Xenopus tropicalis: one gene and its partner. The main gene of each other region encodes a partner of the protein of the gene in region 2 in a complex. Links are inferred from orthologs where the notes say so. Each region holds a gene or a part of one and is shown on either strand. Other genes may lie near its edges.

Region 1 (7,695 bases), about 41 Mb from region 2:
TCTGTATATTTGTATTTATACATATGGGTAGGGGGTGCCATAGTGTTTCCCTTAGACAGTACAGTATGGGGGTACAGCTTATTGTGTGCCCAGAACATTCCTTCTCTGTATATTTGTATTTATACATATGGGTAGGGGGTGCCATAGTGTTTCCCTTAGACAGTACAGTATGGGGGTACAGCTTATTGTGTGCCCAGAACATTCCTTCTCTGTATATTTGTATTTATACATATGGGTAGGGGGTGCCATAGTGTTTCCCTTAGACAGTACAGTATGGGGTACAGCTTATTGTGTGCCCAGAACATTCCCTCTCTGTATATTTGTATTTATACATATGGGTAGGAGGTGCCATAGTGTTTCCCTTAGACAGTACAGTATGGGGGTACAGCTTATTGTGTGCCCAGAACATTCCCTCTCTGTATATTTGTATTTATACATATGGGTGGGAGGTGCCATAGTGTTTCCCTTAGACAGTACAGTATGGGGGTACAGCTTATTGTGTGCCCAGAACATTCCTTCTCTGTATATTTGTATTTATACATATGGGTAGGGGGTGCCATAGTGTTTCCCTTAGACGGTACAGTATGGGGGTACAGCTTATTGTGTGCCCAGAACATTCCTTCTCTGTATATTTGTATTTATACATATGGGTAGGGGGTGCCATAGTGTTTCCCTTAGACAGTACAGTATGGGGGTACAGCTTATTGTGTGCCCAGAACATTCCTTCTCTGTATATTTGTATTTATACATATGGGTAGGAGGTGCCATAGTGTTTCCCTTAGACAGTACAGTATGGGGGTACAGCTTATTGTGTGCCCAGAACATTCCTTCTCTGTATATTTGTATTTATACATATGGGTAGGAGGTGCCATAGTGTTTCCCTTAGACAGTACAGTATGGGGGTACAGCTTATTGTGTGCCCAGAACATTCCTTCTCTGTATATTTGTATTTATACATATGGGTAGGGGGTGCCATAGTGTTTCCCTTAGACAGTACAGTATGGGGGTACAGCTTATTGTGTGCCCAGAACATTCCCTCTCTGTATATTTGTATTTATACATATGGGTGGGAGGTGCCATAGTGTTTCCCTTAGACAGTACAGTATGGGGGTACAGCTTATTGTGTGCCCAGAACATTCCCTCTCTGTATATTTGTATTTATACATATGGGTGGGAGGTGCCATAGTGTTTCCCTTAGACAGTACAGTATGGGGGTACAGCTTATTGTGTGCCCAGAACATTCCCTCTCTGTATATTTGTATTTATACATATGGGTGGGAGGTGCCATAGTGTTTCCCTTAGACAGTACAGTATGGGGGTACAGCTTATTGTGTGCCCAGAACATTCCCTCTCTGTATATTTGTATTTATACATATGGGTAGGAGGTGCCATAGTGTTTCCCTTAGACAGTACAGTATGGGGGTACAGCTTATTGTGTGCCCAGAACATTCCTTCTCTGTATATTTGTATTTATACATATGGGTAGGAGGTGCCATAGTGTTTCCCTTAGACAGTACAGTATGGGGGTACAGCTTATTGTGTGCCCAGAACATTCCCTCTCTGTATATTTGTATTTATACATATGGGTGGGAGGTGCCATAGTGTTTCCCTTAGACAGTACAGTATGGGGGTACAGCTTATTGTGTGCCCAGAACATTCCTTCTCTGTATATTTGTATTTATACATATGGGTAGGAGGTGCCATAGTGTTTCCCTTAGACAGTACAGTATGGGGGTACAGCTTATTGTGTGCCCAGAACATTCCTTCTCTGTATATTTGTATTTATACATATGGGTAGGGGGTGCCATAGTGTTTCCCTTAGACAGTACAGTATGGGGGTACAGCTTATTGTGTGCCCAGAACATTCCCTCTCTGTATATTTGTATTTATACATATGGGTAGGAGGTGCCATAGTGTTTCCCTTAGACAGTACAGTATGGGGGTACAGCTTAATTGTGTGCCCAGAACATTCCTTCTCTGTATATTTGTATTTATACATATGGGTAAGGGGGTGCCATAGTGTTCCCTTAGACAGTACAGTATGGGGGTACAGCTTATTGTGTGCCCAGAACATTCCCTCTCTGTATATTTGTATTTATACATATGGGTGGGAGGTGCCATAGTGTTTCCCAGTACAGTAGAAGACATACTCACTAGTTACTCAGACGTTACTATTAGGAAAGCTGCATCAGTCCAACCTGTAAGACACAACACAAAGCAGTTATATTGGGCGCTCGCACCCATGTGACAATGAGAATCTCCCCGCCCGCCAAAGGGTTAAACTATCTTTAGCTTTTCTATTAATGACTCCAAGGTAGAAGCTTATTGTGCTCCACCTGTTGCGGGGGAGGGGCTCGTTAGCTAATTAGGGTTGTGCAAACTGGGCGGCCGGGAGATAAAGCTCTCCAAGGTCACTCACAGGCAGATTCCTAAAGGGGAGATTTGACTCGACCAATAGAAACCTGTTACACCGGCGTAACCACAGAAACCCTCAGCCTGTGGCGCTGTTCTGTTGGGGCCCAATGAGAAACACTGGCCACTGGCTGATAGTGGTGAGAGGCGGTACTGCAACGACTGGATCTGTCAATAATCAGCTGCCACTTTAAAGGGGAACTTAGAAGAAGACAAGTGGGCTGTTAGGGCTCAGCAGGCCGTTCCTGCTGGACTGCATTCCCACGCAACATAAAAGCCCACCTGTTCCAGAGAAGCCCCTCCCACCGCCCCTTCCCCTTGTTCCCCCACAGATAAATGAGTTAAACACAACCGCCCGGGTCGAGTCCCCCCTCCCAAACCGGAAAGACCAGTTTGATAAAGAAAAGTTCTCTGCAATTTACTAAATGGTGTTAAAAAAAATAACAAAAACAGCGTTTGAATCAATATTCACGGCCAAACACTGCCCAGAAAAGTGCAGAGTCAGCAACAATTTCACAATGTCGGGAAACTACCCTCACGTGGAGCGAGTTATGTGTAGCCACGCCCCTGATATATGTATAACCCCGCCCAATCAGGTATGCCCCACCCCTTTAGCAGACTGTATTCTGGGATTCTACGGCAAACTGAGTTCCCCTCTGACATCACTGCTGGCTACTGTATTGCGCATTCCCAGGGGCTGCCAGCAGGGGGCTGTACTGGCTTATGTAGGAGGCGGAGCTTGTGCTGGGGGGGGATAACTGTTGTACAGGGAAACCCACACAGAAATCTATAAACATGGGGCTGACTGATTGATTGTCTGCGTGTAGTGGGGGCGACAGTTATACGTAAGAGACAGTAGGGCAAGATGGGGACAGTAGGGCAAGATGGAGACAGTAGGGCAAGATGGAGACAGTAGGGCAAGATGGAGACAGTAGGGCAAGATGGAGACAGTAGGGCAAGATGGGGACAGTAGGGCAAGATGGGGACAGTAGGGCAAGATGGGGACAGTAGGGCAAGATGGGGACAGTAGGACAAGATGGAGACAGTAGGGCAAGATGGATACAGTAGGGCAAGATGGGGACAGTAGGGCAAGATGGGGACAGTAGGGCAAGATGGGGACAGTAGGGCAAGATGGGGACAGTAGGGCAAGGTAGAGACAGTAGGACAAGATGGAGACAGTAGGGCAAGATGGAGACAGTAGGGCAAGATGGAGACAGTAGGGCAAGATGGAGACAGTAGGGCAAGATGGAGACAGTAGGGCAAGATGGAGACAGTAGGGCAAGATGGAGACAGTAGGACAAGTTAGAGACAGTAGGACAAGTTAGAGACAGTAGGGCAAGATGGAGACAGTAGGGCAAGATGGAGACAGTAGGACAAGTTAGAGACAGTAGGACAAGTTAGAGACAGTAGGGCAAGATGGAGACAGTAGGGCAAGGTAGAGACAGTAGGAAGAGACAGTCATTCCCAACCTGTTCCAGGCGTGACACACAATTCCCATAACAATCAGTTCCGGGAATCACGCCATCCTATCGTTTCTGGGCCAATGAGGCGGCGCCGCCATAAGACGCTTCCTGGCACATTCCGGTTGTGCCGATCGCGCTGCTGGGAATTCCGTTCCGCTGGGTCGGGAATGAGGTTTCTACAAACAAATGAAAAAAACACAAAAACTGCTGATTCAGCGAGAAAGTGAGTAGAAGCCAAACCCAGGCAGGGAAGGGTTAAATCGTGCTGCGAGGAAAGAGAGCGTCGCTGACTGACAGAGACACCCAGTGAGAGTGATTAGCGGCGGCTAATAGGTTAATCATTAGAGCTCAGCATGCAATCATTAACCAACCGCCACGCGGCACGGCCCCCGCCAAGGAACAGATATAAAGGCAACATTAAGCCAACAGATATGATTCTGCATTAAAAAAACCCAAAGAACAGTTTTTAGGTGTAGTTCCCCTTTAAGGTAGCCACAGAGACAGCGACCCCGGCAACCACAGAGACAGCGACCCCGGCAACCACAGAGACAGCGACCCCGGCAACCACAGAGACAGCGACCCCGGCAACCACAGAGACAGCGACCCCGGCAACCACAGAGACAGCGACCCCAACAACCACAGGGACAGCGACCCCAACAACCATAGGGACAGCGACCCCAACAACCATAGGGAGAGCGACCCCAACAACCACAGGGACAGCGACCCCAACAACCACAGGGACAGCGACCCCAACAACCACAGGGACAGCGACCCCAACAACCACAGGGACAGCGACCCCAACAACCATAGGGACAGCGACCCCAACAACCACAGGGACAGCGACCCCAACAACCACAGGGACAGCGACCCCAACAACCATAGGGACAGCGACCCCAACAACCATAGGGACAGCGACCCCAACAACCATAGGGAGAGCGACCCCAACAACCATAGGGAGAGCGACCCCAACAACCATAGGGACAGCGACCCCAACAACCATAGGGACAGCGACCCCAACAACCATAGGGACAGCGACCCCAACAACCATAGGGACAGCGACCCCAACAACCATAGGGACAGCGACCCCAACAGCCATAGGGACAGCGACCCCAACAACCATAGGGAGAGCGACCCCAACAACTATAGGGAGAGCGACCCCAACAACCATAGGGACAGCGACCCCAACAACCATAGGGAGAGCGACCTCAGCAAAGCAGTTTCTAATTGGTCTTCATTTATTATTATTATTTGTAGTTTTTTTTTAGTTATTTCACTTTTTGTTCAGCAGCTATTTCACTTGGAGTTTCAGCGGCTATTTGGTTGCTAGGGTCCTAATTACCCTAGCAACCAGGGAGTGGTTTGAACGAGAGACAAGATAAGGAATAAAAAGTAACAATAACAATAAAACTGGAGCCTCACAGAGCAATAGGGTTTGGCTGCCGGGGTCAGTGACCCCCATTTGTGGTAGAAGAAGGGAAATAATTCAAAAACTATAACAAATAAATAATAAAGACCAATTGAAAAGTTGCTAAGAATGGGCCATTCTATAACATTAGCTCAAAGGAGCCGCGCCCAGGTTGTAACAACTCCCGGCATCTTCTACTTGTGTCCAGGGACCGTCGCAGCCCCTTCATTTCTCTTTTCAAGTTCCCCTTTAAATTCCAGATGGGGCAACTGAGGTCACCCTGTGCCCCCAGGGCCGCTTACCTTTCTACCTGCCCCCCCGCCACCCCCTCACACCAACAAGCATAAACTTTTATGCCCCCTAATCCCATTTTAATCACCGAGACGCTGAGTGCGCGGCTTGTAAAGACCTTACGCTAATCCGCGTCCCATTGGCTCCCAACGCGAAACAGATGTTTGGGCTTTACTTTCTATTGAACCCGGGGCCTTCCTGCAGCGTCGCCCCGATAATCACTCACTGGCCCCGGGGCCCAGAAACGAGCCTGTCACTGGGTATTTACTCAATTCTGTCAATTCATAGGCCGAGCCAGGGCAGTAACCGTACGGGTAGGGGGTGCCATAGTGTTTCCCATAGACAGTACAGTATGGGGGTACAGCTTATTGTGTGCCCAGAACATTCCCTCTCTGTATATTTGTATTTATACATATGGGTAGGGGGTGCCATAGTGTTTCCCATAGACAGTACAGTATGGGGGTACAGCTTATTGTGTGCCCAGAACATTCCCTCTCTGTATATTTGTATTTATACATATGGGTAGGGGGTGCCATAGTGTTTCCCTTAGACAGTACAGTATGGGGGTACAGCTTATTGTGTGCCCAGAACATTCCTTCTCTGTATATTTGTATTTATACATATGGGTAGGAGGTGCCATAGTGTTTCCCTTAGACAGTACAGTATGGGGGTACAGCTTATTGTATGCCCAGAACATTCCTTCTCTGTATATTGTATTTATACATATGGGTAGGGGGTGCCATAGTGTTTCCCTTAGACAGTACAGTATGGGGGTACAGCTTATTGTGTGCCCAGAACATTCCCTCTCTGTATATTTGTATTTATACATATGGGTAGGAGGTGCCATACAGACAGTACAGTATGGGGGTAGGTAGGTAAGTAAGTATTCCATAAGGTTCCAGCATCAAAGGAAGCATTTTTATTGCCCCAGGGGGGGCAGCATTGAATATTTAAAGGCAAAACTCATTCTCTCTTTCCCACAAAGCTCTATTTAGCGGTCAGTAAATACCCCGGGGCAGGACACCAAACCACCTGTCAGAATTTGTTACAATTTTACCCTTCAGTCGTTTGGATCAACAGGGACCTTGGCCTTTAAACAATGGAGGAATAATGTGACTACTGGCCCTACTTGCCTGTACAGGTTGCATCAGGGAAGCAACATGGCAGCTCCTGTTTATATACAGCCACTGGACTACAATTCCCAGCATCCCCTAACCGCCCCCCCCATTCTCATTTATAAATTCTGACTGACGACACAGAAAGTCACGAGTGTTGGGGCAAAGCCGAGTGCTGAATCAGGTGCCAAGGTCCCAACCCCACGGGCCCTCGTATCAATGTGTAACTGATAAACGGCCAATCCCGCCCGGCGCTGAGCCCGGCCTGTTACAAAGGGCACAACTGGCCAAACAGGAAAAGCCGTCCTGCCAGGGAAATGGGATTTAGGGTTAATTTGTTTGTCTGAACCTCAGTCCAATGGTGTAAATACAGGGAAATGGGCCCCGGGGCCCTCAATTCCCATGATCCCTTCCCTGCACTGCTGGTTCTGACTCCTGATACAACTCCCCAATATCCATTCATTCCTCATTCTCACTGGGTTTATAGTTATGTGTAACTGTCACTGTGTCTGTCCCTTTCCCTTCCCTGCACTGCTGGTTCTGACTCCTGATACAACTCCCCAATATCCATTCATTCCTCATTCTCACTGGGTTTATAGTTATGTGTAACTGTCACTGTGTCTGTCCCTTTCCCTTCCCTGCACTGCTGGTTCTGACTCCTGATACAACTCCCCAATATCCATTCATTCCTCATTCTCACTGGGTTTATAGTTATGTGTAACTGTCACTGTGTCTGTCCCTTTCCCTTCCCTGCACTGCTGGTTCTGACTCCTGATACAACTCCCCAATATCCATTCATTCCTCATTCTCACTGGGTTTATAGTTATGTGTAACTGTCACTGTGTCTGTCCCTTTCCCTTCCCTGCACTGCTGGTTCTGACTCCTGATACAACTCCCCAATATCCATTCATTCCTCATTCTCACTGGGTTTATAGTTATGTGTAACTGTCACTGTGTCTGTCCCTTTCCCTTCCCTGCACTGCTGGTTCTGACTCCTGATACAACTCCC
Region 2 (7,493 bases):
TAAATAAAAAAAAGTCAAATGGGCAGCAATGGCTGCACAGGAAAACTGATTGTATTGCTTAAAGAGGTAGTTCACTTTAAATTAAATGTTAGTATTATTGCTGTGATATTTTTGCAAGTGGTCTCTACTTTTAATGTTTTTTAAAACATTTAGCTTTTGTCCAGTAGCACTCTAAATTTAGCAGCTATCTGGTTGCTAGGCTTCAAGTTGCCTAGCAACTAGGCAGTGGTTTGAATGAGAAACCAAATGAAGACCTGAACAGGAACAGAACATTCTATAACATACTAAGGGGCAGATTCATGAAATAACAAGTTCGAATCCCGAATGGGATTAATTCAGATTGGATACGAAAATTTCTGAAGAACTCAAATATCACAAAAATGCTTACAAAAAAATCGTATTTGTCACGATAATAACCTATTGGCGATTCAAAAGTATGTTTACTATTATTTGCAAATTTGCATATATATATGAGTGGGGGCTACCATGTTGCTTCCTGCTTTGGCTTTCCAATGTTGCAAGTTTCCTCCTGCAAGCAACTTTGCCCAACTTCAGAAAGCTGAAGCGATGTGTTGGCCTTTCCACCAGTGACTAGGCCCAGATTTGTGGCAAGGCCCCGGGTCTAGGGCGGCCCAAATTTAGAGGCGGCATGCCACCCAGCAGCACTGAAATTTTGCACCCATACAGAACCAAGGGGATGGGACGTGCAGAAACTTTAGCGCGTCCTCTCCCCACTGCTCCGTATGCGAGTTAAGTGGTGCGCATGCGCGGGGGGAGGGGGTGGGCAGGTGGCGAAAGGGGGCTAGCTATTCTCAAATCCGGGCCTTCCGGCGACACTTAGGGGCACATTTACTAATCCACTAATCTGAATCCTGAATGGGAAAAAAACGGATTTGAAACGAAAATTTTGCGAATTTTTTCGTCGCTGTCGCGTTTTTTTCGTATTTTGCGCAATTTTTTCGCCAGCGTCACGACTTTATCATATTTTGCGCGACTTTTTCGTTGCCGTCGTGATTTTTTCATATTGAGCAATTATAAACGGCGGAAAAACCAATCCGATTTTTTCGCGACGGCGGCGAAAAAGTTGTGACAATTCGCGAAACAGTCGTGACGGCGAAGAAAAAATCACAAAAAATACCAATCATTACGGAAAAAATGCATTCGGGCGCTTTTCGGACGTTCGTGGATTAGTAAATGTGCCCCTTATTGTTACCGGAGGAAAGGCATTTTGTAATGGTTAGTCGCCAAAGGTAGCAGTGATCTATTGCGATTAGAGCAACTCGTTATGTGGGTCCTTAGCCCCCCCTCCCCCCAGCAAACCAGAGGTATAGCTTCATCCCAGAGTAGTAGATTGTCTCTGCCTGGTCACTGTATACATTTGTCCCATAGCAATGCCACTGAATAGCTGCACAGAGGGCGCAAAAAGAAAAAGGAAAAAGTGTATTGCTCTCCTGATAAGATAAGCAGCAGCCTGTGCAGACTACTCACTGCCCATTCTCCCACTGGTTTAGTAATAGATCAGTGGGGGCTGTCAGACAAACTATCTCTGTTTTAAGACCACTAGATTCCCCTGGACTAAAAGCTCACTACTTTCTTATTTACATATATGAGACTGTCTATGCCTGTTTTCCAGTACCAGTAAGTCCCAGACAGGATTCCCACAGCATCTGAATGTTTTGTCTTTAGCTGAGCCCTGCGATTGGAGCAGCACTTACCAGGGCTACTATGCCATGTATCTACTTCCAGTGATGAGTGTCACAGATTCTTCTGTGCTCAAACTACAAAGTGGGCTGTGTACAAGAAGGGGAGTAAAAAGTACTCCAATCCTTTTCACAATAAATATGAAGTTGGCACTGCATTTATATACTGCTATGTGTATTTGAGTATTAAACATCAAGCTGGCATTTGTATACTGTTATGTGGGCATTAAATGTGAATTAATTTGACACTGCATTTATAATGCTATGTGCCAGACATTGAAAAATGAAGTTTCCATTGCATGTATAATTTATAATATACTGCTTTCTGTATTGGCAGCCATTATACATTAAGTTGGCGCTGGATATATATCATGCTATGTGTATCGGCAGCAGAGTGATATACTTTTTCTTGGGGCTTGCACTGTACAATAGACAGTGCACAGGGTGACAAAATCTGGGCACCCCTGAGCTCAGGCATTATCAATTACTTTATGAGCAATAGTACTATTGATGTGCAGCCATAACACACTAAGCTTTAATGCAGTGTATGAAGAATGTTTCAGAAAGTATATATAGTTTACTTTTTTGGTTGATCATAAATAATTGTAAGGTGCCATGTAGACTGTAAAATTTGCTATTGGCAAGAAATGGAGAGTTCCCTAATGACATATTATTGAGAATAAAGAGCAGTTGCTACATTTGCAAGTGCTGTGGTTCATAAGGCAACCATTCACCTACAGTGCTGGAGTCACAACATGGAAGGGGGCAAGTTAGACATTTGCAGCCCTTACACAAGCAGGACTATATTTGGAGCAGTTCATCTACAGCAAACAGACCCTATTGCTCACATGGTAGTGGCTGGCAGAAGTTTAAAGCAATTGCATGAGTTGCAGAGCTACAGGTGGCTGAAGGACTATGGCCCATGGGAGGGTAGAGGTGCCTGCTGCTAATAAAGTGGGAAGAAGAAGCAGTGAGAGAGAATTGCTGTCAGTGTAGAACCAATCCCTCCCTCCTGCCTGCCCCTGAGCCGGCTGCTCTCCCCTCCCACTTGCCGGCTCCCCCTCCTCTATACTGAGCTCTCTCTAGCACTGAGCTGCACTCGCTGGAAGATGGCGGACTGCAGCACACTGCTGGATGAGGAGCTTGAGTCTTTCGTCTTTAATTATCTGACTGACAGCCCGGTAAGGAGCCGTGGGGGGAGAGGAGACATGGCTTTGCCTGAGCTGCTCTGCAGGCACCTATTGATGGCATGGACAGAGCCATTTATTACATCACTGACAGGGTCTGTGCACCCTAATCTTTTTGTACCCCATTTGCATGCTCCTCACTTGGCATGGAGGCAAGATTTAGGCGCAGATCCCCAACCCTAATAACACTGGCAATAATTGCACTTCAAGTGCCCACATGCTTGAGATGCACCCTGCTGCTTCACTGCAGTAATATCCAACCTGCTACCCTCCAGAGCTAATGCTGGACTACATTTCCCAGCATACCCCTTAACAACCTTTAAATGATCAATGGAAATACCGGTAGTCTTTCTATATACTGGAGAGCATGCTAGTCTGTATGAAGCAAATGTGGCAAGTGAAAGTTAGAAGACTGTTTTTTGAAATTCTAGTTTTACTCTAGTCATTATGACTTTAAAGATCACCCTCGCCCTGAAATGCTGCAAAAACTTTGAGGTGCTATTAATTGGCCAAGAGGCCCTTTTTAATGCCCCCCCACCCCCCTTGCTACCATGTGGAGCAGCCCAGGGCAGCATGTTCTAGGTATCCAGTGTATGGCTGGAAGACTCCACTGCAGAGAAAACTTAAGGTTGGGGGGTACCCCATTGATTCAGTGTAGGAGTGATGGGACCTGGCTCCTGGGACACGTGAATAGAAAGTGCCCGGCTTGCCCATGTGGTGTTCAGCACTCAGCAGGATGTTGCATGTGGAGCTCGGAGAGGGGGCGTGGAGCCCAGGCTGCTCCTTCTGCCTATGGGAACTCAGATCTGCACTGGAAACTGTATGATTTTACATTTTGTAGTGTGATTGAACTAAAATGAGAAATGTGTGTGTGCTTAGTGGGAAGCGGATAGCGTGCAGCAGCAGTCCTGCTTAACCCCATGCTGGCAACTTAGCAAACCTGTGGAGTAAATGGTTAAAAAAAAAACCTTCTGTCTGAAATTCTGCACATCTCCTTTGTATGGGTTCCTGTAGAATGGATTTGTATTGGATGTCTGATGTGGAGTACAAGGAATCAGCAGCTGAGAGCACAGTTGGAGTGATTATCAAGCCAGCTATTATAAAACACAGGAGCTCTGTGCCTGCCTCCTTGCATTTGCTCTTAGGGTCAATAAACTGCGCAGTTATAAATCCATATACATATTAACATATATACATAAATAGGCTCCTCTAAAGTAAGTAATGTATGTCTTTTAAGGGCTGTATGTATCATTACAGAAGTGGCGTGGATGGCAAAGAGTTAAATGGCATTTGTAATTCGCTACACACCAGCAGGCGGTTAAAATATTACAGTATAGGAATGGTGCCGCAAAAGCAGTTTAATAAGTGAATAAAAGTAAAATAAGAATGTGCCTTTGTACCTCGGATGCAGATGTATTCATCCTTAACCCTTTATTGCCTATGCTAATCCCCAGAGCCAAAGTGCGTTGGTCGATCTGTACTAGCAGGAAGCAGGTCTGTGCAGTACAAAGAGCAGCACTTCCAGATCTGCTAAAGGAATCCACTGTTCCCTAATAGCAAGCCATGCTTAGAAGTGTGCGTGTCTCGGGGCTGGGAGTTTCATAACCGCAGTCTGCTGCTTACAAAACAGGAGTATTCTGGGCATGTGTGAGATGCAGCTTCACTGATGGCTATTATGGGCAGGGAGATCTCTCATTATTGACATTGTATAATGGATAGCGGTGGCCAAGCCTGAGATAAAATCTTCACTGAGCTAGATTGATCAGATTACCAAGTTTTATCAAGCACATCCAATAAAGAATATCTCTTACATAAGATCCCTTACCCACTAAGGCATAATTAATGCAGGTTTGTGCAGTGCATATTCTATGAGAGATACAGTAGGGATTATGTTATCGGGGATAGGCAACCTTCTGTACTCCAGATGTTGCCAAGCTGCAACTTGCAGGGGATGCGCATCTGCTGTCATGCTAAGGGTGCCAAAGATATTGGCAACATGAGTGGCTGATTTTATAATTGTGTTTTGCACTTTGCTTGGAATAATGTCAGAGGATGTTATTAATACTATATGTTCTGTGTTGTCCGATACCACAGGGGTGTGTGACACAAGTGTAACCCTCTTAATGCCTGGAATTGTTGCATTGCCTGTGTGATCCAGATCTGGCTGGCATTCGCTCCTTTAAGCATAGTGTTCACGTGGCGTGCTTTGCGCTACTTGAATTGCATATGAAGTCAGATTGATACCTTAACTATCACATTGCCTCCCCACCCAAAAATAATGTTCTGTGGAACAGTTGTTGAATTTAATTGGTGCTTTTGCTGATGCAGCAGAAAAAAGGTGTGTTATAATCAGCACTCAGAGGAACAGACAATAAGCCTTTTCCTCCCCTGGGACCCACACCTCAGGAGGTAGCATGGCCCAATAATTAACCTAAGATATTTCGCTGTGCTGTGCAAACACTTCCTTAATGAGAACCCTTAATTCCAGCCTTATGATGTTCATAAAAAATTGATTGTAAATTGCAATCCTATCAGGGCCAAGAATTATTGATAACTAACGTAGCCCTATAAGTTCTAGAAACTGCAACCCAGGATAGTGCTTTCTTTTGATATTGATAAATAGGCCCCAAGGCCCTCTGGTACAATGTTCTTTGGCTCATTATTGAGGTGGTGTTTGCTTAGCAATGACTGCTAGTAGTGAACAAACTTCAGTCAAGGTGATGAGAAAGTGACTGGAGCTAAAGGTGTGCCCTTTGCCTTCCTCTACTGCTATGATATGACACCAGGAATGAATGCTGATAAAGAAAGTATAAAGGGTGCCCTCCCCCCTTTTACACTCAATTCTAGGAACATGTGTTTTTTCTTTTCTGCTGCCTTCAGGTGACATTGGTTTAAACTTTTGCCAGCCTCTACCATGTGAGCGATAGGGTCTGTTTGCTGTAGATTAACTGCCCTAATATAGTCCTGCTTGTGTAAGGGCTGCAAATGTCACTAGCACAGGGGTTTCTAACCTGCCCCCTTCCATGTTCTGACTCCAGCACTGTAGGTGAATGGTTGCCTTATGAACCACAGCACTTGCAAATGTAGCACCTGTTCTTTATTCTCATTAATATGTTATTAGGCTGTCTCATAAGCGCCACACTACTTTAAATTTAATGATATGGGAATCATTAGGGAACTCTCCATTTCTTGCCAATGGCACATTTTACAGTTCACATGGCGCCTTACAATTATTTATGATTATCAAACAAATTTAGACTATATATACTTTCTAGACAGCAGCATCAGGGTGGGGGTGTGAAACCCTTTATGAAACATTCTTCATACACTGCAGTAAAGCATAGTGTCTTGGCTGTTCATCGATAATACTATTGCATTTATTTGGTTTTTAAACCACTGCCTAATTGCTAGGGTAACTTGGAAAACAGCAACCAGATTGCTGCTAAAATTACAGGCTTAAGGCTGATACCACACATGGCGTTTTTATGCTGCATATTTTCTCAGCCTAAAAACGCCACACAGCCCCTGACTGGCGTTTTTCAGCCTAGTACTGGTGACGTAGCAAATCCCTTTTCCCATGGTGCTATTAGTGCGAAATAGTAAAAAAACGCAGCGTATTTCCGCTAGGTCTGGCAGCTGCCTTTGTGTATACATAGGAATAGGCTGCTGTGCAAATAACGGCGTATTTCGGCAAATACTTGAAAAATTTGTGGTAAGGCGTTTTCTAGCGTATTTACGCATTGTGTGGTTTCCTTCGAGTCTTTTCAAGTTATTTCTATGGATGATGATATTGTGCGTTTTTCAGCCACCGAGAGAATTAGAAAATACGCAGTGTAAAAACGCCACGTGTGGCATCAGCCTAAGTGCTGCTGGACAAAAAGCGAAATCATTTCAAAACATTATAAGTAAAGACCAATTGCAAACTGTCAGAATATCACAGCCATAATACTAAAACTTAATTTGAAGATGAACTACATCTTAAAACAGTAAAATCATTGTTCCTGTGGGACAAACAGTCTTTGCTGCTTATTTTACTTTTAGTTATAAGTGGTTTAGAGATGCAAGTAAAGATTGCATGACTGAGCATACAAAATAAGTATTAGACCTGCTGTGTGTGATTGTGCATATAATGATGTAAAATAGCTTGAAAGCCACCTATGGGCAGTTTTATCCGAAAGATCCACTAGTTTTATTACTATTTGAACACAGTGAACCTATGTGCTGAAGAGGTATTGCAAACACTATAAACATGGGTCGTGGTTGCAGGTTTCATTTCCAGTCAGAAGAATAGAGTTAAATGAAATAAGATGGCGTACAATGTCTAGCTCCTATGGAGATAACACTGTATAAAGGTCACATGGAGCAATAAATCTCTTACTCATAAACCTCATTGTCACCATGAAAACTTAAGTACCAGATTAGATTTTTTTATTCCTTTTTTTTTTTTAGAACTAGAGTGCCTCTGTTCATAATAGCAATTTACATTCACTTGTACGCCACTGAGCATATAATGGGTTAAATCATTTCTTAAAAAGCCCATTAATGCTTGATTTCATAGGGAAACCAGGCCCATGCATGAAATGCTAGGTGTGAAATAGGATCTGGG

What was found. The genes of interacting proteins can lie anywhere in the genome.
Region 1: the proteins of ppargc1b (region 2) and ppara are in contact, whole or in part, in a crystal structure (PDB 3SP6), measured with the Homo sapiens proteins. The link is inferred for Xenopus tropicalis from reciprocal best matches to the Homo sapiens genes PPARGC1B and PPARA. Residues at the interface, in NP_573570.3 of Homo sapiens: Ser154, Leu155, Leu156, Gln157, Leu159, Leu160, Leu161, Thr163; in NP_001001928.1 of Homo sapiens: Val284, Thr285, Thr288, Glu289, Lys292, Phe297, Leu302, Asn303, Gln305, Val306, Leu309, Pro458, Leu459, Glu462, Ile463.

What each region holds. Positions count from the first base shown.
Region 1 is NC_030679.2:3,226,935-3,234,629, reverse strand, and holds the start of ppara (peroxisome proliferator-activated receptor alpha), read right to left. Parts: upstream 4,167-7,695; 5' UTR 3,882-4,166; intron 2,199-3,881; 5' UTR 2,155-2,198; intron 1-2,154. UniProt on the Homo sapiens protein: Ligand-activated transcription factor. Key regulator of lipid metabolism. Activated by the endogenous ligand 1-palmitoyl-2-oleoyl-sn-glycerol-3-phosphocholine (16:0/18:1-GPC). Activated by oleylethanolamide, a naturally occurring lipid that regulates satiety.
Region 2 is NC_030679.2:43,953,112-43,960,604, forward strand, and holds the start of ppargc1b (peroxisome proliferator-activated receptor gamma coactivator 1-beta), read left to right. Parts: upstream 1-2,779; 5' UTR 2,780-2,809; coding exon 2,810-2,881; intron 2,882-7,493. UniProt on the Homo sapiens protein: Plays a role of stimulator of transcription factors and nuclear receptors activities. Activates transcriptional activity of estrogen receptor alpha, nuclear respiratory factor 1 (NRF1) and glucocorticoid receptor in the presence of glucocorticoids.